Linked DNA regions of Pelodiscus sinensis. The protein of the gene in region 1 interacts with the protein of each later gene in a pairwise test. Links are inferred from orthologs where the notes say so. Each region holds a gene or a part of one and is shown in the gene's direction. Other genes may lie near its edges. The genes, in order: CDCA7L and CTNNBL1.

Region 1 (15,310 bases):
ACTCCCTTAAAAATCAACTTCTGAAAATTCTGCAGAATTTCCCAGTTGGTTTTGGCTTGTTTGGAAAATTGCTAGTTTTAAAATACGATAAATATGCTTTAGTGTATTATAATAGACTTTATAATTATAATACTAAAAGCTGCATTAATGTGTAAGGAATTCAGTATCATAAGCGCCTTATAAATACCATAGCTAGATTTCTTGTTTTTCTTCTGAATACAATTAAAATAAGTTGTGTATGTACACATATAATTAGAAACTATAACAGAAAATATCAAAAGCATAAAAAGAAAAAAAGTGATGTGAGAGGTCAATGAATTAATATAGCAGACACAGTTCCCAGATAAGTGTGACCACCAGTAAATCTTAGTTTTGATGTTTCAGCTATGTCTTATAAAATGATGATTTGCCCTGCACAGCAGAACAGATCTTGGCCTTTTTTTTCACTTACCAAAGGATTTACAGAGCAGGAAAAGAGGATTACAATTCCTCTCAGCAGAAAGTAATCCTTTTAAGTTAGGTATGTCCGCATTCATTGAGGAGTGTGGGAAAGTGCATACTACTTAAAATGCTTGACAGGTCTTGGAGAAATGAGGTGGCAGAAGATGGGAGCAAAAATTCCTAAAGTCATGACTACAATGGCCCCCAAATTAGTATTTGATGGAGGAGGAAGCATTAGAAATGGAGCTCAGGAGTGGGGATTGAGTTTAATATTCATCTGTTTGTGGGACTGAAAGCATTAATGTCCAATATTGTAATCTAAATTTTCATTGTAATTATTCAATTAAAAACTGACAGTAACCATTCCAATTTACAAGCTCATTCTGAAGAGGTAGTTGTCTTATTCTTTAATTATACAGTATATCAATATGGCATTACAGTGATGAGGCTCGTATAAATTGATAGATTTGATATAGTTGATATATCTTCATAGCAGCTAATAATTTCTTCATGTATGCTTGTTTTCTGTTCAGAAAGCGATAGTTCAGAGGTATTGTAGTCCAATTATAGTGTTCGTTCTGAGCTTCAGAACTTATAAGTTTCATTATATAGTTTAAATGTCCAAGGGATAGACCCAGAGCCTATAAAAAATGCTCTCATATGATGAGCAAGGTCAGAGGCTAGTCTGGACTCAATAGCTGTAAAGTAATTCTGGACTAATATATAAAGTTGAGGTTGAAGAGCACCTAGGATTTAGTTATAATATCAGGTTTAAGAGGCTGATGAGAAAAGGCAATCACACAAAGGTGACAGGAACTCAAAAAAGCAGACTTTGAAGTAATATGAAAAGTGGTAAAGAAAATGGCAGGAATTCAGTAATGCATAGGAAATCCACATTGGTAAAGTGAGAGCTATTTGAGAGTATGTCTACACTACAGAGGGTTTTTTTTTTAACCGGCCATTTTTCCAAAAAACCCTCACTTATGTCCACACTGCAATAGCGTTCTTTCAAAAAAAGTCAAAAGAAAAAAGGGTTTTTTCTGACATTAGTAAACCTCTTTCTACAAGGAAGAGCGCCTTCTCTGAAAGAGCTCTTTCAGAAAAAGGCATTTGTGGAAGGAGTTCTTTCGATAGAAGAGGAAAGAGGAAAAAGCAAAGGTGCCCTGGTAGCCACTCCACCCATAGTAATCACAGCTTATATGAGAGATAGCATCCATTCAGTGTGGACATTATCTGTTGAAAAAGCAGATGGTTTTTTTTATGTGCTTTGGCAGTATTGACGCTGTCTTTTGGAAGTTTTTCAGAAGATTTCTTCTGGAAAAGCTTCTTCAGAAAGAAGTCTGCAGTGTAGACATAACTTGAGATACAGTTGGAAAGATTATAATGAAATTAATTCCAGTAAAATAAAGAAAAACTAAAAAAGCAACAGATTCCAGAGTGTGGCTGTAAAGAGCAGTAGAATCGACAAAGGATTTAAAAAAATATTGGGAAGGAGAAAGATTGTGAGAGGTACAAAAGTAGAAAATTCAGGAAAAAAAAAGGAATGAAAGCAAGAAGCAAATAGCATAAAATAGCACAGGATTAGACAGTTCATAATGTATCTGTAACAGCATAAAAGCCACACATTTGTATTGTAATAGAATGCAATTTAATTCAATCTAATTTAACACAGGACATTCTAACACAATAATTTGAAATCTGCTGTTCACAATCCAGGCTAGCTCCTTGACAGCTTTTTAACTGAATGGAGTGCTTTATATGCAGACTGCTGGGGAAAAGCAAGAGGAGAAGAAACCCAGAGTTAGCAACAGGATATATAAAAGGCAGATCTTTCAGGAATGTTGAAGTACAAGACACTTTTATATTTTAAAATGCCCACATTTCCTAACATAATACATAATTCTCACTCTTTGTCTTTGGTTGAATCTTCTTCTCCCCCTCTCTTCAAAGCTCCTTACTTCAGTGCCCTGAATGACAACCACGGGGTTCTCTATAGTGGATGCTGCAGAGCAAACCATTATTTAAATAGCATGCTTTGGCTTAATGGTTCTTTGTTTACTGGTAACCCCTTTCCTCAGACTCAGTTCTAATAAGCAGTCCCCATATGGCTAGTACATAGGCATAGAAATACTCTGCTGCTCAACTGGATAGCCCATGTTAGGAATCAATAAGGCTATATCTACACTACGAGTTTTCACTGCAAAAATATGCTCAGGGACATAAATTTGCATGACTTGTGATCTCATTTGCTTATTTTCTGCCGATCTGGTTTTTTGCTAGGGTTTTTGCGCAAAAACAAACAGTGTGGACATTTCCTTCTTGTGCAAAAACCCCTTTTTCCCCGCAAGATCTTGCGGGAAAAGGGAGGTCTTGCGGGAAAAGAGACGTTTCTTTTTTGCGCAAAAAAACCCTTTTCCCACAAGATCTTGCGGGAAAAGGGGTTTTTGCACAAGAAGGAAACGTCCACACTGTTTGTTTTTACGCAAAAACCCAAGTGAAAAACCAGATCGGCAGAAAATATGCAAATGAGATCGCAACTCATGCAACTGAGTCCCTTATTAGCATATTTTTTGCAGAGAAAACTTGTAGTTTTAGTGTTTGATACAATGAGCAAAATCAAATGGTAAATTACGTGATACCATTTGAAATGTGTTTCATGGTGTGGGGTTTGGTTGTATGGTGGGAGAGGGGCTGAAGCATCCCTCCTCCCCATGCGTATAGGGAACGCATAAAACCATACAGAAAAAGGAGACCAAATCACCAAGCAAGTAAAAGAAGCTGACTGTCGACCCTCATCCAGGACTGCCCTAGCCCCAAGCCTCCCACCCCCAGGTGACCTTTAGGACGGCCCGGGGAGGGGGGGGGGTTGAAGCTCCCTTCCCTCCATTTGTATGGGAACACAGCTAGCTGTTCCCCTTCATCAGGGAGTGAGGGAAAAGTGCAGTTTGCTGCATTTGTCACTCTGCAGGGAGCACAGAGGCAGATGAACCTGGACCTTTCCCAGCCGGGAGACATGCACCTCTCCCCAAACTGTGCTCACTGGAGCTGCAGCGCCCATGGAGATGCGCTTCTCACCTAGCCCCAAGCTGTTGTGGAGTGAGAGGGCTGGGGTAGTCATCTCTACCCCGGGAAGGGTGCTTACAGAACCCCTCATCTCCAGCCCCACCGCAGAACAATGATTTAATTGAAGAAAAACAAAAATTAATTAAGGAATGCCAGGTAAAACTTCTAGTATAATAGATATACACACACACATCTGTTTGCTTAATACACTCATAGATCTCTGAGAGCTCTTTATCTGATTAGCACACAGTGTGAAAGTGAGCAGGGTATACAATGTCTGTCATGTCTGCATATATATAGCCCTTCACACAAATATTTTTAAAATAGTATCTCTCGTTTGTTTTTAAAGGCAGCTAACTGGAGCTTATTGTAGAAAAGCTGTAAGAGACAGTTTTTGATTATTTTAATTTTTTTTCTGCTAATGGGAATTCAGAAAGAAAGATTAAAATAGGAAACCATGAGGAGAAATTATTTTAAAAGCAGATTTAAATTTCTCTTTCTCTTTTTTTTTTTTTTTTGCTTTCCTTCAATCTGACTTAGTTTTTAACACTTGAAACTGTATTTGTTTTTCACTGTGTTTCCCCTGATGGGATGTTGCAACAAAGCTTATGCTTCTATTCAGTTTCACCTTTGATTTCACTAGTATTAGCCCAGTATTCCAGTTAAGATTGCAAACAGCATAGGAATGCTTATAAACACCATTTTTTTTCTTGAATCTTCGTATTAGGATTTATAAAACATATATTTTAATCACATACTTTCATACTTGTAGGTTCAGGGCTTAAACTACCAGCATATCTTTATACAGTACTATACAGTATTTATACAGTATAGGTACATTTATTTTGTTTTTTGTTATGGAAGGCAGGAGAAAGGGAAGGTGTTGATTATAGACTAAAATAAACATGTATTTAATTTCTAAAAAAATCTAGGACCACATCTTGGCTCATAGTATTCCCTTTTGCAGCTTTAAAGGCATACCAAGAGTCTTTCTTGCAAAACTAAAGCCAGCACACTGAATTTGTACTCCCTTACAGGTGTGTGGTAGAATGCTGTGCTGTGGTGAGCCAGCAAATTGGTCCCATAGGACCATTGCTAGAGACAAAAATTAGAACAGCTGAGGCTGGAGAAGAGATCAGGGGACTAGATCTTTAAGACATTTTGTCTTTAAGTCCTACAATTTCTACTGACATAACTACGTGGAGCTTACATTTCTTTACTAGAAAAGATGGGAGGCTACAATGTTACTAAACCTTGTGATTTCATCAGAAGTCTCATAATATTTTGTGTTTTTCTTAAAGCCTCAGCTGCAGCAGTCAAAAATATTGGATTTTATTTAAAAACAAAAAACAAACCTAGCTCTTCTTATTCCAGATAAAAGTTTGAAAAAAAGAAACCTAAAGGCTATAACTAGAAAGTAAAACACTGATCAATTACAAAATGATTTTAATGTCAATCGTGATTTTGGGGACTGATGCATCATGAATTATGAACATTTCAGCCTGAAGACTGGAAGGACGTAAGATCAGCACAGGTAATAAGGGGTTAATAAATAGCTGTGGGACTTGAATACAACCACTTCAGGAACAGAGAGTGAACACCTGCATAAGGAACAGCAGGCTGGAAAGAGGAAATTTATGTCTAAGGAACATGGCACAAACTACCATATCATCTCAGTGCCTGCACAGTTTTTAATGGACTGATCTTTACAACACTCAGGTGAAGTAGGAAAAAGCTGTTGCCTATTATCCCAATTTTACAGAAAGATTAAGACCAGGTCTACACTACAAACTTTTGTGAGGATAGCTATGTTGGTTTGAGGAGTGTTTGACTGATTTGCAGTACACACAGCTATGCCACTACAGGACCCTCATGTAGACAGTTATAAAGTACTATGTTAACTGGCTTTTCTGATATCTCACAATACATATCTTCAGTTTAGTAACTGGGACTAGTATATTGCCTACCATATTATGCAATTGCATGGTTCTGCACTCTACTTTTATGCAATAGAGGCACAAGATAAGTAAACAAGCTGTTATCAGAGATTTATTCAAAACTAAGGGGCTGTGCCCTCTGCTTGTTACACTCATCTACCCCATTCTCTGTCCGCTTTTGCTTCACTGAGAGAGCCTGATGATGTCATTCTGTTGCCCAACAGGAAATACCTTTTTTATGTATCTAGAGAAAAGCAACTTCCAATGTGTCATAGGTCATTACAGCTTCAGCCCAATTTCTTACACCAATGGTGGGCAACCTGTGACCTATCGGGGTTCAATCTGTGACCCGTGAGACATTTTGTTTACCACTGCCCACGTGCAGGGTTGTCAGGTTTTGCTAGTCTCTATGTATTTTTTTTCCTAGTGGTATTACTAAAGTGACGTACCTAAAACAAAGGCATGTAAAATGAGGTGCTTGCTGATAGCACACATTGACCGTGAGAGCCATATTCTCCCTCTGCATAAAGTTCAAGTGCTGGAACAGTTTAATTAGTATACACTGTAAATTGTAGATACACAAGCACAATTAGCAAAATATCGTAGCCCATTCAGATGAAGCAGGGCCACTGATTTGGCTTACTCACTAGCTTAGGTTGCCCATTGGTGTCCTATACCTTCTGTATCTATCGTGATAATCAATGCACTACAAGATACTGAAGTGCCTTCTGAACCATCAAAGATTAAATTATGTTCAATATGGTTCGTGTTAAATGTATTTTTAGTGATCTGGGTGTACATCATGTGGTGCCCATAATGATATGTAGTATCATACTGCATCTGATGAAGTGGGTCTTTGCCCATGAAAGCTTATGCTCCAATAAATCTGTTAGTCTATAAGGTAACACAGCACTACTGTATAGAAACTTTACCTGCATAAACTTGAGTGCTTCATGAAATCAATCACCCTGCAATGCAGTACTGCTCTTGGATTGGTGAGTACTTGTATTTATTTTATAAGTTATTCATTTTACTGTATTTTAATTCTTTGGAAACTGGTATTCCACTGGTAAAGTATAACTCTCAGTTAACCAACATTTTTGATTAACAGGAACCACCCCCCATCCCATTCTCAACACATCAGAAAACAGAGCTTTTATTGTACCAGCAAACTCAGGCACTTTTCCCAGTGTACCTTATTTCACACAGGGCATGGGTGGGGAAAGATGAGGGACTTAAATCAGCTGTATTAGTGCCTTTTTCCTGGTACAAACTGCAGCTACCTTATCTATGCATTGCTATTATAGCTAGGCATAATGCCCCTAGTGTAGACCTGGCCTAACTGAGCCAGGAATGAGCCATAAGTAGCCCATGGGCTGAACATGGTTCACCAGGGTTAGCCCCTGGAGGGCTACCAGATGCTTTATTTGCCCCTGCGTCCGCTGGTATGGCCTCTTTCTGGGACACTTCTCACAGCTCCCATTGGCCGGGAATAGTGCTCTGTGGGCAATGACAGCTGCAAGTGGACGTACCAGCAGATGTGCCGGTAAATACAACATCTAATTGACCTGCAGGAGCAGTGGCCAAAACAGGTGACCTAGGCGGTCACCTAGGGCACCAAGTAAAATGGCCGTTGAGGGCTTTGGAGGCAGGGGTGCCGATCACGTGTTTCGCCTAGGGTGCCAGTTGCTGGCAGCTTGTCTAGGGCCGCTCCTGTCCAGGGGCTAACCCTGGCGATTTGCATTTGGCCTGCAGGCCACTTATTGCCCAGCCCTACCCAAGAACAGCAGTGGCAGAGCTAAGACGGGAGCCTAGTTGTCACATCTAACAGCCTAAGGAGCAGGCCAAGGGAGCAAAGCCCTCTCTCTGCCTCGCAGAAGCCTCCCGCAGTGCAGTAAGCCCAGTCTGCCCCAGCCCAGCACAGGGGGTACGTCTACACTCCAGTGGCATGTTGCAACGCCGTGAAGAGGAGCTGCTCGCCTGGAACGCTGCTTCCTAGGTGGGAGCAGGGAGCCCCCCAGAGGAGATAGTCCCCCTCTCCTGGAGGGGCGGCCGGGTTGATGGGCAAATCCTTCCGTGGCCCTAACTCTGGTGCGCAGGGCGGGAATCGGCCGTAGCGCGCTCAGGGGGCAGCGCGGTGGCCTCAGCCCGCGGCCCTAGGGGCTGGGCCCGAGCCGGCCGGCCAGGACGGGGCTGACGAGCGCGCCTCGCAGCGCGGCTAGCGGGGGCGGGCCCAGCGCAGCCCGCGCCTCGCCCCGGGCGGAGCAGGCGGCGGCTGCAGCTGGGCCCCGCGCCCGCCCTGCCCCCCGCACGTCCGGGGGAAGCCGCGCTCCCTGCGGCCCAGCGTCGGCGGCGCGCTCGGTCCCGGGCTCGGGCGGCGGCAGCACGATGGCAGCGGCGAGCAAGGTGAGGCGGCCCCGGGCGCGCCTAGAGCCCCCCCCCCCCGGCCGCAGCGGGGCGCCAAGCGCAGCCCGCCTGCGCGGAGGCGCATGTGCCCGGGCAGCGGCGGCGGCAGAGCTTTGCAGCGCGCCTCTTGCCCCGCTCAGCCGGAGCCCGCCTGCGTTCCTCTCCGCCACGTGGAGCGTGTCCTCCAAAGGGCGCTCCCTCGGCGCCAGCGCGGGGACAGACCCCGCCGCCGCCGCCTCGGCCCTCTCCTCCTCCCCGAGCGACCCCCCGCGCATTGCAGAGGCGGGAGCCCTGAGCGTGCTGATTAATGGGGCGGGTGATGGGCTGGGGCAGGAGGAGGGGGGTCATGCTGCGTTGGCCTGGACTCCCTGTATTGCTTGCAAGTCCGCCCGGCTCTACAGGTTGGCCTCTTAAAAGGTAGTTGATTCCCCTGCTCCTCAGAAGTTTCCAATAATGAACCGATTGCTTGGTGCTACTGGGGAGGTATTTGCAGTGTGTTTGTGGGGCTGCTTTTCCTCCAACAGCTCTCTTCTCATTTGACGTGCCAGATCTGACTTCCCTCTTTCTGGATTTTCCACTTACTTAATGGGACTTTTACTTCTTACACATCTTAGATTTGGAACAAAACTTGGGGATGTTACTGCGTGTAGTTGGCGGCGGCAGCAGACTCTATAGACTAACTGGCAGCAGTGGCCAAAAAAAAAAAAAAAATGGGGCTGGCAACTACACGCCCCTCTTTCCGTTTTTTCCCCTCCTTCCTCCTGCTTGCATGATAATCAGTGTTAAAATTCAAAACCCAAGATTTGTGAAGCTTTATTTAAGTGGACGCTGCTGTATTTTAAAAATTAAAAGGTTCTTCACTTGTGATGATGTGTTCTTATATTATAAAGCAAAACACTAAACTTTAATTAATGTGTTGTTTGTAAAACACCATTAGGAAAAATAAACTAGTTAGTGTTACTGTTTCTTTGTAATTAAGTTTTTTTCGTTTTCCTGTTATCTTCTGTACATTGGAATACAGAACCGTGTTTTAAAAAGCATATCTTAAGAATTTGTAATTTTTGTAACCAAATCTTAAAATATTTGGTCTACCCTATTGGTGAATTTATTTTCATTGTTTTGTAAAGGGGCTTTTTAAAAAGTCTCTGGATGGCCTGATTCTCATATATTTTCTAGTGATAGTTCTTTTGCTTCTGACCTCTTCTTATTTTTGTTAAAGATGTTGTTTAGTTCCCAGTGCTACAAACATGCATATATGAGTAACATTAAGTCTGTGTGTAAATGTTTGCAGATTGGTGCTTTTGAGGTTTAGTTTTACACTTATGAGTAGTTTTGAACTTCATGTACAATTAGTAGTTAAAGGGACACACACACACACAAACTTACTTTTTGAAAATATTTGCAGGATTAGGTTTAATACATTGGCACCTTCTTGGAAAGTCACCACATGTATCGTAATTTCATTAATGAATCTGTTAAGCTTAAGAAAAGAAGCTTTACATGAGAGGCAGTTGAATACAGACTAAAAACCATACTAAACATTTCAAAAGCAAAAAGATGTTAAATCCGTGTGCACTCTTCCATACAAATATATTAAGAACCTGAGGTCTGTTCCTGGCTCTGCCCTCTCAATTTAACATGATCCTCAACTTCTCTCCATCTGAAAGTGAGACTAACAATATTACTGGAAGTCCTGTGGCACTTTATAGACTAACAGATTTATTGGAGCGTAAGGTTTTGTGGGCAAAGAACCACTTTGCCAAGTCGTGGGTCTTTGCCCACAAAAGCTTATGCTCCAATAAATCTGTTAGTCTGTAAGGTGCCACAGGACTTCTAGTTGTTTTTGCAGATTCAGACTAACATGGCTACCCTTCTGATACTAATATTACTGGAGTGTTGCAAGGCTATTGGTACTTGTAAAGTGATTTCAGATCCTTTGTCTGATTGCCTTTTATTGGAACTGCAAAATATTAATGCCTAATGCTACAGCGTTATTACGACCAGTTACATTTTTATTCAAGGGACAAGAAATTAAATCCTTCCCCCCCCCCCCCGTTATATAAATAGGGCAGTGGAGGGGAAAGAGAACAGCAATCTTTTTAATATTTCTTGTGGCAGTTTGGGGTTGTTTTGGGGTTAAGAGGCACTGCAGTCCTGCACTCCTCCCTGTTATTTCTCTGGAGCTCTAACAGTGGTGGGTTAAATTGTTTCTTGCTGAGTCAGGTGGATTCATCACCTGCAGGAGTGTAGATGTGTTTCAGGCTTCCTTGTCTCTCAGAATCATAATGTAATCTATTGATTATGTTAAGCCCTTAACAACACAGTGAGGTTCAAAGGTTTCAGACACAAACTAGTTTGGCGAGATAGTTGTGTGACCCCATTTTAGCCAGTCACTAGCCAGATATTCTGAGTTGCAAGACCTTTATTCATGTATATTGTTTGGTAACCCAAAGGCCTAATTTTAAACATATCTGTAGAGTGTGCATTTAAACCTAAGTTTTACAGATGGCTTTCAATACTTACAAAGACTTCTTAAAATTGGAGTTTTGTTATAAAAACTGACCCTTGTTTTAGAAATTTATTTTCCTTGGCCAAATGTACATTTCGGGTATCACAGAGGCATTTTAAAAATCATCTTTGACTTATATTAACTGGAATTCTGTCTTTGGATAATGCCATCTATGGCCCCAAGCCTGCAAGTGACTCCGGGAAGTGGGCCTTTGTGACTGTCTGATGCGCCACTGAACTCCATGACTCCAGAGAGCCAAGTAGCAAAATTTGGGCCTATTTTTTTTTCTAGACTGGTAGTTTACTCAGGGTACATCTAGACCAGTGTTTCTTAAACTTTTTAAGACAGAGGAACACCAAATAATAATTTTTTTATGAAGAACACCAAGGATTTTTTGTTGAGCTCTCCCCCCCCCCAAAAAAGGTCGGGGGGGGGGGGCAGTAATTTAAGCAAAAAAAGTTGCCTGCTCCTTTAAGGGTGGCCATTTTGAACTCTGTTCTCCGTAGCATACCTCCGACTGCCTTGCGGCACACTGGTGTTCCCCAGAACACAGTTTAAGAAACACTGGCCTAGACTGCAAGATTCTTTCGAAAGAAGCTTCTTTCAAAAGAGAGTGTCCACACCTCAAAACCAGATCGAAAAAGCGATTTGCTTTTTCAGAAGAGAGAATCCAGATTGCATGGATGCTCTCTCGAAAGAAAGCCCTGATTGCTATTCACAGAATGGCCACTAGGGCACCTATGCTTTTTTTTCGACTGCCTCTTCTTTAGACAAATGTCCCTGTTCTGCGTCCACGCATGCCTTTTTTCAAAAGGGCTCTTTCGAAAAAGGCATTTTTCCTTGTAATTTGAGGCTTACCAATATCGGAAAAAAAAACCCCTGCATTCTTTCGATTTAATTTAGAAAGAATGCAATTGCATTGTGGACGCAGGTGAAGTTTTTTCTAAAAAAGGGCAGTTTTTTTGAAAAAACAATGTAGTCTAGATATACCTCAGTGGTGCAGTGATACTGTGCAAATCTGCTTTCTGGGAAACTGGGAGCCAGAAGTAGATTAGAGGCCTTGAATGAGAAGATGCTTCTCTTGTTTCGGGCAATATTAAATCAGAAATATCAGCTTCTGTGTGTGTATCAGTAGTAGGTATTGTGGGGAAGAGCGGATAGGAGAAACGGGAGTGAAGTTGAAGCATGGTTATACTATCTATGGTTCTCATATACATAATGTTAATCTTTTATGAAAGTACCTTTTATGGATTGCAGGCTCACACTCCCTATAAAAAGCAATTGTTCAGTCTTATTCCTGCGATTTATATTGTGTGGATAGACTGCTGAGCCCCATTGGCTTTTGGAGGGCTCCATGTAGGTGTAGCAGTCTGCCCACATTCTAAATTGCAGGATTAGGGTTTTAGTTCCTGGTAATAGAGGCTGGTTGGTTGCAATGATAAACAATGGGGAAAGTTATGGCTTCGTGATGGTGGAAAATGCTTACTGCAGGTCTGGGGTTAAAGCAATAATTCTCAAACTTTTTGACTTGTGGTGCACCCCGCTCAACACAGATCTTTCTGAGGACCACAAGCCAACCACCCATGGTGACAAAATGGGTGTGCGAGGGCGTGGAGGTGCAGGCTTTGGCCAGGAAGTAGGGAACAGGAGTGGGCTGAGGGTGGGAGGTAAGGATGCAATAATATAGTTGATTAATCAATTAACTGATAAGCAAAAGCTTATAGGTTAATGCTACAGACTACACGCATTTCTGCCTCCCTCCCCCAGTAATTCTTTTAACAGGCAGGCCAGCAGTCCAGCTTAGTCCCAGCTTGCACCGGGTCTGAGACCTACCCCTATTCCGGCTCTGCATTTAAATTGTATTAGTAGCCAAGCAGTCTGGCTCAGCTCCAACTCGTGATGGGTCTGGGAGCTCAGATCTCTCCCTGCCACCTTATGCTGCTGTCTCTGTATCAGGCATCCATTCCATGAGAGGAGCCACTTTTAAAACTAGCTTGTGTTTAAACTGGCTTCCCTTGCAGACCAGCTCCTGCCTGGCATCCTGCTCTGCTGCCTCTGATACAAAGACAGCAGCAACGTGGGGTTGCAGGGTGCTCCTTGGGAGTGGGGCTGGAGCGCACTGGCTGCCAGCCCTGCCCCCAGGGACTATAGAATTGTCGAGTAACCGATAAGAATTCATTAGGTTAATCGACTATTCAATTAACCGATATTTAACATCCCTAGTGGGAGGGTGATGCGTTGAGGGGGATAGAGGGGTGGTATTAGGGCATGAGGGAGGTGGGTGGCGCTTACCTGGCTCTGTGTCTCCCGCTGTTCCCAGGCACCACCCTCCGCTGCTGCAATTGGGCGTGATTCCAGAGCCTGCGGCCCACTTGCAAGACTATCCTGGACCACTAGTGGTCCAGGAACCACGATTTGAAAACCACTGGGTTAAGGGAAGTGTCATAGCACTTAACATTGTAAATAAGTTTCTTGTCCTAAGACTTCATGAGAAGTCAAATATTTATAATAGTAACTTCATTTAGTTACTAATTTAAAAACATTTAGAAACCCAGAATCCATTATTTGGGGCATTCAGAAAGCTAAAATTAATGGAAGAGTCCTATTCAATAATAGTTTGGCTAATGTAATAAAGATCATAGCTTTTCATGAATAACTAAAATGTTCACAATATACAGCTATGGTGATAAAGTACTTTCATCTTGGATGGTAATCCATAACTCTTAATCTTGTGTGATCTTTCAGGTGTACATGCTTTTTCCCCATCACATTTTTCCTCTACTTCTCCCAAAGCAGTTTTATGTATTCCTCTATGGCACTGCATGTGCATGGAATATTCCATCCTCAAACTATTTCATAAAGTCCCTTTAACTATAGCCATCTTGTTCCAAGCATTTGATGAGAAACTGTGAACAGGTAAGAGGTTGGTAGATGATCAGGTATCTCAGTTTGAGTCAATTAAAAAAATCTTCTTGTTCACATAGCTAATATGAACATGTGTAATCGTGTGATTCCTATCATTGTCATTCTTCTTCTTCCCTTTTCCACCTTCATTTCTTTTATGACCACTTGCTATAACTGTATGTCTTTAAATTAGATCTTGATTCTACACTCTTATTCAGGAGCAAGACTTGGAATGTAAATAGTTCATGGCAGGGAATGTTTCTTGCTATATTTTTGTTCAGTACGTGGCCTAATAGAGCTGTGATCCTGATTTAGGGATGTTAAATATCAGTTAATTGAACAGTCGATTAACCTCACGAATTTTTATCGGTTAGTTGACTATTCTATAGTCCCCGGGGGGTGTGGCTGGCTACCAGTGTGCTCCGGCCCCACTCCTGGAGAGCCCCTGCTACCCTGTGCTCTCTATCAGAAGCAGTTGCACAGGGTGCCAGGCGGGAGCTGGTCCGCATTGGGAGCTAGTTTAAAAATTAGCTCCCCATGTGAACTGGCTCCACAAAGCTGCCTCTGATAGAGACGTAGCAGCATGAGGTGGCAGGGAGCTCCCTGGGAGCGGGGGTAGGTCATGGACCCGGCGCAAGTCAGAACTGATCCGGGCTGCTGGCCAGCTAGCTAAAAAAATTACTGGCCTGGGGAATTGGGGGAGGAGAAATGCATGTAGTCTATAGCATTAACCTATAAACTTTTGTTTATCTGTTAATTGGTTAATCGACTATACTGTTGCATCCCTATCCTGATTAGGGCCTCTGTGTGCTACTGTGACACAAATAACTATTGTAAGCCTTGAAGTAAATTTATGCTCAGAAGTTAGTCTGTGAAAATCAATCTTTGATGCAGTTTCTGCTCTGAATGGATAAAATTGTGCTGGCTTTGCTCTTGCCATTAGATCTGTTGATGTCATTAGGGTTGTTGCAAATAAAGACTTCTTTACATGCAGATTTTCACCAATTTAGATTTTTTTAAAACCTGATTTATTTAAATTGTCTCAAAAGGTTGTGCAGACATGTATATTTTGGTCTAAAGTCTAAACCACATTGATATCTTTTTTGGTGTGTTTTGTCAAATCTACAGCTCAAGTGTTCTTAATATGAACATGTGCTGGGCCATCACCCAAGAGTACTATCATGAAATATATAGTAGAATACAGGTAAAACAGATTAGGAAGCATATAGTTTTGCCCCAAGGAGTTCAATCTCAAATGTAATTAACACTCTTTTTTTTAAACAAATGTCATCAGCATTGAAGTAGGTCCTCTGGAATGGTGGTCGAAGCATGAAGTAGCATACAAATGTTTAGTATATTTGGCGCATAAATACTTTACAGTGCCAGCTATAAAAGTGTCATGCAAATTTTCTCGCTTCCAGGTGACATTATAAATAAGAAGTGGGAAGCATTATCTTCCATAAATATAAAAAAAGTTGTTTCTCTAAGCAATTGGCTGAAGGAGAAGTAGGTCTGAGTGGACTAGGTGCTATACTTTTACATGGTTTAGGTTTTTGAGTGCCATTATGTAACAAAGAAATCTGCATTTGTAAGTTGTACGTTCACAATAGTTGTACAACTATGTATAACATGAATTAGAAAATGCTATTTCTTTACTATTTTTACAGTGCAAATACCTGTGATAAAGTGATATCAAGTGAGCACTGCACACTTTGTATTAGGGATGTAACAGTGTAGATGATAAGTGGATGCTTATTGGTTAATACTATCAGCTACATGCAGCTTCACTCTTCTCCCCATCCCGTGGCTCTGAAAGAACATTTTTTTAGCAGGCTGGCCAATAGGCCAGCTCGGTCCTGAATCACACTGGGCCCTGACATGAACCCTGCTGCAACTCTGCGTAATTAGTCCCCAGGATTGATGCTGGGACCTGGCAGAAGCTGGGACTGAGCCAGCCTGCCTCTGCGCCAGCTCCCCAGACAGTGCAGAGCTACGGTGGGATTGATGCTGGGACTGAGAGCTTTCACTGCTAACCCTTATCGGTCAATCA
Region 2 (15,110 bases), on another chromosome or scaffold:
GCGAGCGGCCCGTTTGCTTTTTCCTTTTACGAAACTGATCCAAGGCCAGGGCCCTTTGAACTGGTGGGACAGCCCCCGGCGGGTCCACCTGACCAGACTCTGGCCTCAGGGTGGCCCCAGGGAAGGCGGGGGAGGGGGTATCTGACCCTCATGTCTCTGCACCAGCCAGGCCTGGCCCTGCAGCGGGCGTGGCTGCCCAGGTCCCGGGAGCTCAGGGATCCAGGTAGTCGCTTGGGCCTGTCCGATCCTGCCCCCAATCAGTGGGGCTGGCCATGAGCCTTCACTCCCCTGTCCCCTCTGCTCCCCACGCCAGCCTGGCTCTCTGCACACTCCCTCCCCCTCCCCCTCTCCAGCTCATGCTCATTAATAATGGATCCAGCTGCCTCCTCCTGTAATCTGCGCAATCTGGCTCCGACATGGCTGGATCCCCTTCCCCGGGCACATCCCTCCCAGGGCAAGGGGATGGCTTGGAGAGCTCCCCATTGACAGCTGCTGGGGGGGGGGGTTCCTGTGCCCTGCTCCCTCGCTGGGCTCTGCTGTCCCTTGATGCTAATTTCCCCTCTGTCTGCAGAGAAGCAGGCGCTGAGCCTTGCAGGCGTCAGGGGTGGGAATATCAGGTCAGTAGGGACTCACAGAGGGGCTGGGGCAGAACCCAAGCCCAATCCTCGACCCCCTCCGCCCATGTCTAACCCCTAGGCGGCATTTCCTGCCACTGCTGTATCTGCTACCCACACGCGCGGCCGAGAGGTGCTGTGTGCAGCCGCAGCGGAGGCGAGACCTCAGCGCGGGGAAAGGAAATGCTAAATAATTTAAACAGAAAATGGAATCGCGAACCTCTGTCGAGCCTCCTCGCTGCGAATGACTCTGTCTCTGTCCTGGTGGAGCAATTTACATGGAAAACCTCCGACTGGCGGCTTAATAGCCACCCGCTCGCTCCTGGGGTGTTGTGATGCCTTCCTCTGGGTTCTCAGGCCTGGATTTGTTCATGCTGCGGCTGAGACGCGGGGAGCGCACTGTGCCAGGCTCTGCAGGACCATGTAGCGACCCCCAGGCCTTGGCCTCAGGAGCAGACAGTAAGCGGACCAGAGGTTGGAGGGGAGACAGGCCCTGTGAGGGGAAGTGACTTTCCCAAGGTCACACAGCAAGTCGGTGGCAGAGCTGGGAGCAGCCATCCGGTCCCCTGACCAGTGTTCTCTGGAAGCTGAGCACAGCAGCCGCCAACCCAGGAGAAACTCAAACGCCGCCCAGCTGATTAGCAGAGCGCCCAGGGCTGGCAGCGGGTGTCTCTATTTGTGGTGCACTTCCACACATGCCTTGGTGCACATAACAACATTTATTCTGCACAGGGATGGGAAATATCAGAGGGAACCTTGCTCCTGCCTCCCCTCCCAGGGCCTTACGCAGAGACACTGCTGCTGTCCTCAAGTGCCAGCCCTAGGAGGTCTCAACGGCCAAGGTAGCACTTCCAGGAACAACTGTCCCTAGAACGGGGCAGTGCAATGAGGCACCCCGGCTCTCGGCCCCTGCCGGGTCTCATTCTGCCCTCGGACGGTCTGGTGCGGGAGTCAGGCAGGGGAGCCTGGAGCCAGCTGTGCAAGGGCCGTGAGCAGCAGAAGCCAAGCCCAGCGGGTACCACGGTGAAGCCCTGCTCCTTCACTTCTGCCTCCCAGAGCTGCAGCTCTGACACCCCTGATGTGTAGCCAGGGCCCTGCTCAGCTGATTGCTGTAATGTCTGAGATGATGGAAACGTGGAGGCGCCGGCTGAGAGCCTGGGCTGGAGACGCTTGTCATAACTTTATCTGCGGGGAGCCAGCTCCTGTCGCCGGGTGATGGACGACCCGGCGCGGGGCTCGGTGCACGGCACAGCGTGGCTTCCTGCGCCCGCTAACGACGCGGCAGGTGAAAAATGAGTTCCTGGGACGAGCCGGGGGCCGGGGGCGGGAGATTCTGGGGCACGTCGCCACCTGCACCTTCCACTGGGAGTCCTGGGGAGCTGTAAGGTGCCCTGGCGCTGTGGTCACCGACCGTGGCTGCGCACGGGGGCTGCCGTGTCCTGAGCCGGCGCTCACGAGGCTCCCGTCACTCTGACTGCGGCCGCGCACACGCATAGTGCACTGCGAAGGAGAAGGAACAAGGCCAGGGAGAGGCTGGCGGTGGGTGCCAGGGAGGCGCGCCCTGCTCTCCCGGTTCAATTCTTCCCGGCTTGCTCCTGTGCGGTGCTTCGTTTAGGGCCCCCCTACAGAAGGCAAGAGGCAGAGTCTCCTCTCCCTTGGCCCCCTCTGAGCCAGTGGCCCTGCACAAGGAGCAGGTGCGGGGGCTGCCGGGGAGAGGCCTCCCCAAGGGCTGGCTCCGAGGGGAGCGGGCTTGGGGGTCAGTGACATCGAAACAGGTCGGGCCAGTCCCAGCAAGACTCCCCGGACTCCGCGTTACCCCGTGAGGCGCCGTCTGGGCCGGGCTGCCTGTAAACGTGCCGGGGCGGAAGCGAGGACCCCAGCCAACCCGCCGCAGGGTGGGTCTGCTTGGCCGCGTCCGGCACCGCTCGCCGGTGCTGATCTCTGAGCGCGCCACGTGCCTGGTTCTCGCAGGGGACGGAACGGTTAACCGGGGGATGTGAACTGAGGCTGGAGCAGCCCTCCCCCCATCGCTGGCAGGGCCTGCCGTGGGCATGGGTCGCTCCTGCCTGCCAGAGCAGCCCCTGTCCGCGGGGGCCAGGCCAGCTGCGCTGCAGGCAGGGGTGCGGGGGCTGCTCCAGCTCAGCTGCGGTGGGGGGCGGGCGGTTAAACACAATGTTTAACTGGTTACAGATTGGGGCGCGGGGGGGGGGGGTGTCTGCTCTGTGACCCGGGGCCCCTGCGCTGGGATGGGAGATTCTCACTGACTCTCCCAAATGTGGATTCACTCAGGCTCAGCCTCCCAGGGAGAGACAAAGGGGGGAGGGCGGAGACCAGCACCTGGCTGGGGGCAGGGCTGGAAGAGAGTGGGGAATTTCTGTCTGGGATCATGGAGGAAGCAGCCTAAGCAAGGGGCTGGGGTTTAGGGGCCCAGTCTCCCCATCTCAAGGGCTGAGGCATCCTAGGCCGGCCCTGGAACCAGATTCCATCTGTGCTGGGCTGTATCCTGGAGAAGCAATAAACCCCCTCTGTTCTACTGGCTGGGGAGTCTGTCCCTGCCACTTCGGGGGTGCAGGAGGCAGGGACCCCGACGCGCCGTCACAGAGATTAACCAGGATTTTACCTCCCTAGTTGCTGCTGCTGTTCTAGCCCCTCTGCCAGCGCACTAAGCCGGCCCCTCTCACGCCTGCCCCAGGGCCGACCGGGGGTCTGAATGGCAGGAGCTGCTTTGCGTCTGACTGTGCTTCCTGTCCGCCTGGCTCAGCGGCTGACAGACCAAGGCTGCCCCCCCGCCCCTCCCCCGGTCACAAAGCTGTGGGGAGCCGCTGGCAGGAGCAGGCCCAAGTGCCGGGGTCCGGTGCCGGGCGGGAGGAGTATGGCCGACACGTCCCGGGAGCCAGTTTCAAAGCCAGCTTTTGCTTGTCCCTTCTACTTCAGAGGCAGCTGCAGGCCCTACCCTGGGCATCCCTGCTGCATTTCCGGGGGGACAGAGGCCTGGGTTGAATGGCACTTGGCTTTCCACGCGCTGCCCTAGCGCAGGTACGTAGCACAGCCTCCATTACAGGCACAGCCCTCAGAGGCTCCGAGGGGTTAGGTCACAGGCCCAAGGCCACACAGAGCACCAGTGAGAGGAAAGACCGGAACCCCGGTTTCCTGGCACCAGCCCTGGAGTCTAACAGCAGACACGCTGCCTCTCCTCCGGCAGCTGAGCCCCGTTACAGGCGCGGGGCCAATGTATCGGGTGTCTCCCCGCTGCCTTCAGGGGATCGGTACCCGGCATGGACGGGGTCATGGCTGCACCCCCTTGGAATTGCTCAGTCATGAGCCTATGAAGCCACACTCCTTCCCTGAAGCCCACTGTCTCGTGCCAGCTACCGGGCTCCAGGTCGGGACCCAGACGTGTTGCTCTCCTCCAGCCCTGCTCAGGTTTGTTTCTAACGTAATTTTGTCCCCTGCCCCGGCTCCCTTTATTGGATACACCAGCCCTGCAGCACCTGGAGCGACCCAGCTCTGCAGGCAGCAGTGAGCCTGGCCGGGAAGCCTTAGGAGACAGGCAGAGAGTGAGCTAGGAGCACGTCCAGGAAGTGGCTGACGACAGCTGCCTCGCTGCCCCTTGCATTGTCCTGGGCTTCCTGGTTTCACCCTTGGCCTTTCCCTGCCTCCCAGCGCACTGCAGAGCCCTGAGTAGCAGGGCACCGTGGGCAAGACACTAACAGCCAAGGGAGGCACCCTGGTTAGTTTGAGAAGCTGACGGGAGACAAGCCGCATCTCAGAGACAAAGGGTCCTAATCCCGCCTCTGAGACTGAGGCCTGCGGTGGCCACCCTTTTCTCCCTCCGTTTCCCCATCTGTACAGTCAGAAGATTCTGCTGACCCGCCTGTCGCTCCGGGTTCTGCATGGAGGAAATAGTGTCTGTAAAGGACCTGGCAGCTGACAAGCGCTATCTACAGGTACACCTCGAGCAAGGATGCCATTGGCCACTGTGAATGAGTAACAACCTCTCTGGGCCTCTCTTTTCCCACCTGCAGGATGGGTGTAGTACAGCTCTGAGTCTGCCAGGATTTACCCATGTGCTGGACTTCCCTACTTCCCAGTGACTTCCGCGTGTGTGAGCTGTTGCAGGATATGGGCCAATACGTCCCCGGTTCAGTCTGACAGCCCCTCTCTCAGGCGACCCCTGCGTGTGACCCTCCACGAGGTCGCAGGGGGAAGGATGTGCCCAGAGCGGTGTGACAGACAGCGAAAGGGAAAACGGTATTTTAGGCAGATCGTCTCATTCATCAGAAACAAACGCGGAGATGGGGGAGGTTAGAGCAACAAAACATCATGTCATCATGAAATGGAATGTTGTCTGAGGTTCCCACGTACGCCAGGTTTATGAGGCTTCTGTCTGTCTGCGGAGGGTCGGCACTCCCCTCTTCATGTGTTTTATTTATTTTACAACTCCTTATGTCTTATTTATTAGCATCACTTGTCAAGCTTTCCAATAACTATATCATGCTCCCAAGTATATGTCAATACTCATAGAATGACTGTGTTTTGCCTTCGCAGCTGGAGAATTATCTGAATGCTCCATAAAAGAAAGGCAGAGGATCCAATAATGATCTTCTACTTGTCTCTTCTTCCGAGTGCAGATTTGTTGAGTTAATTTTCTCATGACTGCTCTCTCTAGACCGCACTGAAACAACAGGGGATGCTAGGGGGCCTCTTTCTTGGAAAATGTTAGATACATTTTTAATTTCATGACTGTCCTTAAAGTAGACGCCTGCTGAGATAACGGTAATAGTTGCTATAGTTATGTTACAAAAGAGTTTTACCTCCAAGTTGATTTTTAAAGAACAGCTACAGTCTCTATTTGATAAGATTTGGGACAATCTGGCTCTCTGGCTTCGTTGTTCCTTTTAAAGAACGTCAGCGAATGCTTCATAGTCACCTGAAAAGCAAAACCATTTGTCCTGGCCTCAGGAATCTGGGTAATTTGCTGTTGATCTGCTTTCCCCACTAGAATGGGAGCTGTGCTGGGGGCTTGCTGGGTACCCCAGGCAAGTCTGCGAGGTCAGATGGTCGTGGGCACAACACCCCTGAATCCAGCTGATGGGGGGACATGCAGCACTTCTGTGAAATCCGCATGGGAACCCACCCGATTAGGTGTCTAAATCCAACACTCGACACCCCCACGTGGCTGCCACCTCCCTCCCCTGCGGTGCATCTGCAAAGTCACCCAAGTCCTGAGCTCACCCCCAAGCTGCTGGGCCCCCTAGCTTAGGCTCAACCCAGCTGGCTGGATTCTCACCGCAGGCCTTCCTCTGCCCACCTTGCCTGATCTCATAGGTTGGGCTCAGAGTCCACTAACCCTGTGAAAAAACCAGCTGGGGGGCAAGCCAGTCGGGGCACTCTCTTGGGGGGAGAATCCAATTCTTCCTGTGACTGAGTCGGGGACGGGGGGGCCCAAACCTACCGGCCTATTGGCCAGAATGGGGCAGGGCTCACTAGATTGTCCCTGTAAACATTCATTGGAGCAGGGACTTGAGCCAGAGTCTCCGCTGTGAATGCCCCATTGCTGGGCGGAGCAGCACCCATCCCTCACTCATCTCCTCCCCCCACGGTTTTAATTCGTTGCCCCAAACGGACTAGCTTCCACAGGCAATCCTGAGACAGCCACATGGGCTGGTGCTTAGGGCACACCCCCGGCCGGCAAGGCTACGTCTGCATGGCAGCGCTATTTCCGGATGCCGGCGGTAACCTGAAATAGCCGTTCCGTGTCTTTTGAGCGCACCAGCTATTTGGAAATATCACGGGCTCACTAGCCCGACGTCCCTGCAACCCTCATTCCACGGGGAGGAAGGGACGTTTCCGAATAGCGGGTTGTTTCGAAATACCTGCTGTGTAGACAGCGCCACATTTCAAAACAAGCAATTTCGAAAGAGCATCGAAATAAGAGCCACAGTGTGCGTAGCGCCGATTGGGTCTCTTATTTCCACCTACGGTGCAGTGGAGATGCACCCTAACGCCATTTTAAATAAGGCAATGAAAATCCTGTGCCCGCTGACTAAGGCTGTTTAATTGCAGTGCACAGGTGCGAGCTCGTGTTGAGGCTGGGTCTCTAGCCAGGATCCTGTGAGGTGGGAGGTCCCAGAGTTCAGGCTGGAGTCCAGGCCTGGAGGTCTACATACAAATCAGCTGGCTGGCCAGGGCTGCCCCCTAACTGCAGTGAAAACGTAAGTCCCTGTGCCGAATTGGACAAGAGCTTGCAGCTTCCTTGGAGAGTCCCTGTTTGCCTGCTCCCTGCACAGGGCCGGGCTGGCGGCAGGAGGGTTTGCAGCTGAGAAGCCCGAGAGGCGCCTCCCTCCAGCCTGTCAGTCCGGTGCCCAGTGCCCGGAGCCATGGCAGACAGGTGCTAAGGGCCTCTGTGAACACAGCCCTCGCCCTGGCACCTTGGCCCTGCATTGCGCCCTGGCCGGCTTTGGCAGCTCTTGGCTCCCTTGGCTGGCTGCCACGTGCCTGGCCGGGGAGCTGGGCACCGGGCGGTGAGTGCCACGGGGCTGCAGCACCGCAGTCCCCACGCGGACCCAGCCCAGCGCCCACTGGCCCCTAGGATGGGCACAGGCCAGGGGGTCAGCCTCAGCCAGCGCCCAGGGCCAGCCCCATCCACTGGGGGCAGGGCCTGCCCATCAGCCCACAGGCCAGGCTGCAGCAGGAGGCTGGGAACACGCGCCTGCCCCGCCAGGCCCCGCCCCCAGGCCACGCCCCTGCGAGCCTCGGGCCGCGTGCGCCTGTGCGGCCACGTGACTGGCGTTCCAGCAGGCTTCGCGGCAGTGTGGCGCGCCCCCTGTCGCGCTTTACGGCAGCGCGGCGCCGGCTCGCTTTACGGCGGCGTGGGGTCGCTCTCGCTCGGGCTTGGCGGCTGCTGAGGCGCGGGGGCCATGGACGTGGGCGAGCTGCTCAGCTACCAGGTGAGGGGGAGGGGCTGCGCCTGCCGTGGGGGGAGGGGGGCTGCGGCCTCCTCACTCCCGGGCTTCCCTCGTCGCCTGGGAAACCAGAGCGGCCTGGGCCCCGCGGGGGGGGACTTGGGGGGAGGGGTGCACGGGGGGGGGGGCTCGGGGCGCCCCACGTGACCCCCTGTAATTAAAGATTCATCTTCACTTCCTCAGCAGCCGCCGGCCGGTGCCTTTAGCCCCCCCCCCCTCGGGGCGCCAGGCCCAGGCGGGGGCAGCCTAGCCATGGGGGGGGGGAGGTAGCCCCGCCCCTTCGGCCCAGGCCACGCCCCCATCGCGGGGAGCGGGGGGGAGCAGCAAGGCCCCGCCCCCGGTACCCCTACAGCAGGCAGGGTGTGGGCGGGGCCAGGCTGGCGGTTTGGGGGGGGCAGTGTCCTACCCACCGCCCATGGGCCCAGCTGAGCTTGGCCCCCCCCCGAGCACGCGCCCTGCCCTGCGAGAGCTGCGCCGTGCGCCCCGCGGGGCGGAAGGGCCCCTCTGGCAGGGAACGTTCATTTGCTTTCTGCCCTCTTGTCCTCCGCTCGCTCGCGCTGCAGAAGTGGCTTTTGCCCGTGGAAGCCCGTGGTCCTGTGTGCGGTTATTAGTGCTGCACGACTACTCCTGGGTTTTGAAGTTACAGACTAAGGCGGCTTCCCCTGAGACTTCATCTTCAACAGAAAGCAACGTACAAACCTTTGCCATCAATCGGTCTTCAATGGCGACTTATTTGGGCATGTCAAATGTTTACTGGTGTGCTTACTGGTTAACCATGAGGCTTACCAGCTAAGTGAGCTCCGGCAGCCAGCCATGCGGGGCCTGAGGAGCGCTTAGTCATGGAGGGGGGAGACAGTGAGATCTCACAGCTGTGGTGGACCAAGTGGCAGGTCTTAAGTTAAAAGTTAACTAGTTAAGACTTATCCGGTTAAATGATAACAATTTTAACATCCCCTTGGCCATCCAGGAAAGGCAAGTACATCAGAACGGCCAGACTGGGTCAGACCAAAGGTCCATCCAGCCCAGTGTCCTGTCTTCCAACAGTGCCCAAAATCAGGTGCCCCAGAGGGAGGGAACACAACAGGGAATCCTCAGGTGATCCCTCTCCTGTTACCCATTTCCAGACAGACAGAGGCTAGGGACACCATTCCCACCATAGTCATTGATGGACCTGACCCCCATGAATGGATCTAGCTCTTTTTTTTAAACCCATTAAAGTCCTAGCTTTCACCACATCCTCTGGCAAGGAGTTCCACAGGTTGACTGTGCACTGAGTAAAGAAAAACTTCTTTTTGTTTGTTTTCAACTTGCTGCATGTTAATTTCATTGGGTGGCCCTTAGTTCTTATATTATGGGAACAAGTCAATAACTTTTCCTTATTCGCTTTTTCCACACCAGTCATGATTTTATAGACCTCTGTCATATCCTCTCTTAGTTTCCTCTTTTCTAAGCTGAAAAGTTCAAGTTTTTTTAATCTCTCTTCATGTGGGACCTGTTCCAAACTCCTAATAATTTTTGTTGCCTTTTTCTGAACTTTTTCCAATGCCCGTATATCTTCTTTGAGATGGGGTGACCACATCTGTACACAGTATTCAAGATGTGGACGTACCATGGTTTTATATAAAGGCAATAAGATATTCTCTCTTATTCTCTGTCCCCTTTTTAATGATTCCTAACGTTCTGTTTGTTTGTTTTTTACCGCTGCTGCAGATTGTGTGGATGTTTTCAGAGAACTGTCCACAATGACTCCAAGATCCCTCCTGAGTAGTTGTAGCTAAATTAGTCCACATCTTACTGCAAGGGTGGCCAACCTAAACCTGAGAAGGAGCTAGAATTTACCAATGCACATTGCTAAAGAGCAACATTTATAGGTCACCAGCCCTGATCATCTTCCCACCACCACTCTCAGCACATCCCGCCCACTGGCAGCCCCACCGAACTGTCCCTCCTTTTCCTCAGTGGGAGACACTGGAGGGGGGAAGCAAGGGTGTGACAGGCTTAGTGGAGACGATAGGAAGTGGCAGGATCCTAGGGGGAAAAAGTGGAGGGGGACAGCGCCTAGGGCAGAGCTGGGGATAGAACAGTGAACACCTTCCGGCCCAGTGGCAAGTTGGCACCTGTAGCTCCAGCCCTGGATTTGGTACCTATGTAAAGAGCTGCATATTAACCTCTGAAGAACTGCATATGGCTCTGAAGCCACAAGTTGGCCACCTCTGTTTTACTGAATGTATTGTGGGATTATTTGTCCAATGTGCATTACTTTACATTCATCAACATTCAGTTTCATTTGCCATTTTGTTGCCCAATCACTTAGTTTGGTGAGATCTTTTTGAAGTTCTTCACAGTCTGCTTTGGTCTTAACTGTCTTGAGCAGTTTGGTATCTGCAAATTTTGCCTGCTCACTGTTTACCCCTTGCTCTAGATCATTTATAAATAAGTTGAATAGGATTGGTTCCAGGACAGACCAATCCAAGTAGTCAGTCCTTATGAGCAGGGCTCGACAAATAATGCAATCTACTCGCCCGTGGCGAGTAGATTACAATTACAACCCGGAAGAGCTGGTGAAGAGCAATCTGTGCATGCACAGAGTGCAGAACTGTGTGAAACCGCGCGGCTGGCGAGCCCTGCTTATGAGACATTCCCAATGTAATGTCAAACTAGTGAAGTTCTTAGATCCATAAATTGATTTCCCCTCTCGCCTCCCCTGTATAGAGTTTGTAATGTCTTGGGAAGAAAAAAGACCCTAGGTTATATGTAGATCTTTCCACGTGCATGTCATTGGCATGCTTTATGCGTGCCTTTCTTTTAATTGTCTAAATGTTTTATTTGTATGTCCCCATAGGGCAGTATCTGTGCTTTTGGTGTACTCCACACACTAATGGGATGCTATTTGGTCACTTTAGGCACAAAACTTACAAGATCAATGGACATTTCTTCATTCTTTTTTGAAATTGCTATTAAAACTGTTTTTTCTGCAGTGTTTGCCCCTCAACTGTAGCAGAAAAGTGAAACTGACAAGTTTGTTTTTGTTTTTTTAGCTGAATGAAATGCAAAAAATAGTGTCAACATTAATGGTGAAAAGAACATTAGAGTTCTAAAATCCTCATTTCTAATATGCCAGGGTGCAGCTTGTAACACAGGAGACACTTGTTTTTAAAAGACTTTATCTGATAATCCTACTGGCTATTCTTAATAATGTTTCCTTCATTGCCCTTGGCATCAGGTCTTTTTGTGTCCTTTGGTTCCTCATCTATTGTATGAGCCTCTTGAATATAATTCATCTACCTTCTCGTAGCCCTCACCTTGAGAAGTGGGTGTGTTGGAGGTGTCTAATCTCTCTTCCAACAAATATGAATAAAAATGGCCTAACGTTGTGTCTTTGGCCCCTAGCATCCCAGGCTGCTTTCTTGTGTGTCTCTTCTAATGCTGGAAATATGGCGCCTCAAGCTTTCCCAGCGAGCTGGATGACTACTGCAACACCCTGCTGATTTGTACTCTGCTGATAGCTCCAAGTGTTCTTGCTTTCTTAACTGTAGTTTAAAGGTGCTGTCCACAGCTACCTTAAATCTTTGTCCGGAATAGAGCCTGTGCTGATTTCACATCTGTTTTCAGTACTGTCAGCCATTATATTGCACAGATCCCTTGGGCTGTATTTTATTCAGATCCTTTTCAATCCAGTTTCCTTCCTTCTCAGTCATGTGTATTTCATGTATAACATGTCTTACAATCATGTTAGCCTTATCAGAGACTGCTACATCTGACCCCAGGCCTCCAGAGTCCTCTGGCCTGCTGGCATGTTACTTGTCCCCTTCAGAATCCCCACCGACCTCCTCGTTCTCCTCTTATTAAACCTGCCTTTCCTCAAGCACCAGCAGTCAAGGTGAAATCAACTTTTTACTATTTTTCATTGCATATACAGTATTTCAGCTACATTATGAGTTAAATAGGCTTTTGTGGCTTAGCCTGGGAATCTAACAACCGCTCCAGGTGGGTCCTGGTTTTTTTCAGCTCAAGTTCAACACATCCTTCCGGTCCTTTCCAAATCTCTTCGTGGCTTTGCTCCTGTGTTTCTGATCTTGCCAGTTTCCCATTCTCTTCCTCTTCATCCAACCATTTGTGCTGTCAGTACTAATCTTGCTGCTGCTGATGTGAGATCTTTCCCTCTGCTGTGCTTATATCTCTCCACTTTACCAACTTTCCAATTTCCAATCCCAAGTGAAAATATTCATCACTCGCCGGGTTCTACTTTCTCCATTTTCTCAGCCTCGGTTATTTATTTCTAAGTATTTTGTGGTGCAATTTGTACCTATGTAAGATGTTATGAAAGACAGCGTTGCACTGTATTTCATTCAGTTCACTTGTTTCAATATCCCTTCTGGAAAGGACGTTTCATTTTCACACAAGAAAAAATTGAGGAATAAAAGATCAGTCCCTGTTTTGATTCTGTTCTACTCCGGAGGGGAGGGCTTGCTCACATTTACTTAGAAATATATGGTATAATTTCGGATTCCTGTGAATCTTTTGGACTCCTTGTCACTGGGGCCCCCCATGCTTTATGAAAATAGGGTTATAAATAAGCCAAACTGGAAGGCGCTTTAGGTAAGTGCATCACGTGACATATTTTTAAAGTTAGTCTATGAATGCATGTGTTCTTTTCCTGTGCATGTATCATTCTTGTATGTGAAGTTAGAAAAATTGAAGTGAAAGTCTTAAAAAAATAAGTGGACCTGTAGCACCTTAGAGACTAACAAATATATATAGTATCATGAGCTTTCGTGGGCAAACCCCACTTCTTCAGGTGAAGGGAGTTAAGGGCTCCTGGGGACAAATAAATAGCAGAAAAAGAGAGGGGATGGGGAGGAAAAGAGAAGGAAAAAATATATTGTCAATTAGTGTCCATGGTAAATGAGGCTGATAGAGTACCTTTTTATGTCACTAGGGTGTTGAATGTAGCAGGCCATCCAGTTAAGGTAGTTGTTTAAAACGCTATTGCAGGTGTCAAACTTGTAAATGAAACCAAGTCCTGCAGCTTCTCTCTCCAGCTGGGTTTTGAAATTGCCTTGCAATAATATTGTCACCTTTAGCTCCATTAGTGGGGGCCCTGGCAAGTTAAACAGTTTCCCAACAGGGTTCTGTGTGTTACCATTTCGAATATCTGATTTGTGTCCATTAATCCTCTCTCGTAGAGACTGTCTGTTTTAGCCAATATCCATGGCAGGGGGGTGTTGCTGGCACTTGCTGGCACAGATCACATTGGTGGATGTGCAGTTATATGAGCCTCTGATGTGATGGCTGATGTAGCTAGGTCCTGTCATGGTGTTGCTTGAATAGATGTGTGGACAGAGTTGATTGCAGAGATGGGATCCTGGTAGGGATGTGAAGGACTAGTTGAGTATCTGATAAGCAAATGCTTATTGGATAGTCGACACACCAGTCGACTAGACGCTCCCCCCCCCCCCCCACCTTACTGCATCTATCAGAAAGAGGCAGCAAAGGGGGGGGGGGGAGGAGAATGGCAGCTCTGTGTAGAGCCCGGGGCCAAACCCTGGGCTCCACATGGTACTGCCGCTTTGAAATGCCATGGTCTGCACGCAGCATTTCAAAGTGGCAGTGTTGTGTGGAGCCCAGGGTCTGCTGCTTTGAAATGCTGGTGCAGCCTGGGGCCAGCTGGGGAGTCCCCAGCTGGCCCCAGGCTGCATGTGGTGTTTCAAAGTGGCAGCGCCACCTCCTCCTCTCTCCTCCCTCTTTTCCCCCACCATGCTTCCTGCAGTGTTTCAAAGTGGCAGTGCCGCATGGAGCCCTGGGTCAGCGGGAGAATCGGCTTGAGTCCCCTGCTGGCCCCATGCTCCCCGCAGCGCTTTCACCTTTGAAGTGTAGCACCAACCCTGAGGCTGTTGCTACACCTCAAAGGCGAAGGTGCCCTTATCGACTAATTCAATTGTCAATGCATATTGCATCGACTATTCGATTAGCCGATTAATCTAAATTTAACATCCCCAGTTCCTGGGTGGGTTTGATGGGGGTGTGCTGCGTGCTTGCTGGAAAGAATTTGTTTGAGATTAGGGAGTTGTGTGTCTGCAGGCGAGGACTGGCCTGTCACCCAAGGCCTGTGAGAGTGAGGGGTCATTTTCCAGGTTAGATGTAGGGTGTTGATAATGCGCTGGAGGGGTTTCAGTTGGGGGCTGTAGGTATCCTGCTGATACCAGTGGTATCCTGTTGTTTTCTTCGTTGGGCTTCTCTTGAAGAAGCTGTTATCTGGGTACTCGTCTGGCTCTGTCAATCTGTTTTATCGCTTCTTCGGGTGGGTATTTTAGTTTTAAGAACGCTTGATATAGATCCTTAAGTGTTTGTCTTTGTCTGTGGGATTGGAGCAAATCCAGTTGTATCTTAGGGCCTGGCTGTAAAGAATTGGTTGGGAAATGTTTCTTGGCTGGAAGCTAGAGGCATGTAAGGAAGCATAACGGTGGGTAGGGTTCTGGTATAAAGTGGTAGAAACGTGGCTGTCATGTAATTGTATTGTAATGTCAAGGAAACCTTGTTCAAGGTCAGCCATAAAGATGTTGGAATATTGTGGGGCCATGCGGGCACCCATACCTGTGCTGCTGACTTGAATATAGAAATTGTCTCCAAATTGGAAATAGTTGTGGGTGAGGAGCAAGAGGCAGAGAAGTGAGAGTCTGTTTATAAATCTAGATGTGCTAATGAGACCATTAGTGATACTCGAACATAGTGGCTCAGTAAGTAAACCAACAACTTGTCAATAGTCTAGTTTTTCCTGTAAGCCTGGATCCAGATTGGTTCTGCCAGGGCATGTGGCCAGGCCACCTGATGCTGGACCATTTTTGGTCTTGTGCTTTTTCACACAAGAAGAGAGGAATTTGAACTGAATACAAAGAATTCCTGCCCTGGGCAAAGGGGATAAAAGGTGGGAAACCAAACAATAGGGGCAATTTCCAGAAGTCAGGAGACATTTCCCTCTCTTTCCCGTCCCCGTCCCCACTTACCACTGTATGTGCCTGCTGGAAACGACTCAGACTGGACGAGGGGGGTGGGGGGAGAATCGAGCCCAAGCTAGGAGGCTGCCTAGCTTATGAAAAGGATGAGAACTACTGTAAGAATGTGCATATAATACGTTTCTTATTGTATTAGGCTTAACTAGCGAATTTTGTTCCTTTTGGCTTAGGAACTTACCTTGATCTGTCTGTTTTCATTTGAATTCACTTAAATTCGACTTCTACTTAATAAACCCACTCTTGCTTATTCTCAAGCACAGCGTAAATACTTGTTACTTGGGGGGAGCCACAGCTGTGCATATCTCTTTCAGTGACCAAGAGAGTGAACGGTATGAGCTTGGATGTATTGGGGGGCTTGCTCCCTTTTGAGGGTTGTATTCCCAGGTGCTATCTGCTCCCTCTATCTGAGGCTTCCCACAGCTGAGCTGTTGTCCGCGTCTGTATTGCTCTGCTGGGGGGCTGGTATCTCCACTCGGAGACCAGAGCTTCTGGCCCAGCAGGACAGGATGGTGGGGTGC

Evidence for each region.
Region 2: the proteins of CDCA7L (region 1) and CTNNBL1 interact in binary tests that used the Homo sapiens proteins (3 or more experiments, as listed by UniProt). The link is inferred for Pelodiscus sinensis from reciprocal best matches to the Homo sapiens genes CDCA7L and CTNNBL1.

The regions. Positions count from the first base shown.
Region 1 is NC_134712.1:200,003,368-200,018,677, forward strand, and holds the start of CDCA7L (cell division cycle-associated 7-like protein), read left to right. Parts: upstream 1-7,683; 5' UTR 7,684-7,829; coding exon 7,830-7,847; intron 7,848-8,125; exon of another isoform or gene 8,126-8,264; intron 8,265-15,310. UniProt on the Homo sapiens protein: Plays a role in transcriptional regulation as a repressor that inhibits monoamine oxidase A (MAOA) activity and gene expression by binding to the promoter.
Region 2 is NC_134728.1:433,080-448,189, forward strand, and holds the start of CTNNBL1 (beta-catenin-like protein 1), read left to right. Parts: upstream 1-7,408; 5' UTR 7,409-7,534; coding exon 7,535-7,564; intron 7,565-15,110. UniProt on the Homo sapiens protein: Component of the PRP19-CDC5L complex that forms an integral part of the spliceosome and is required for activating pre-mRNA splicing.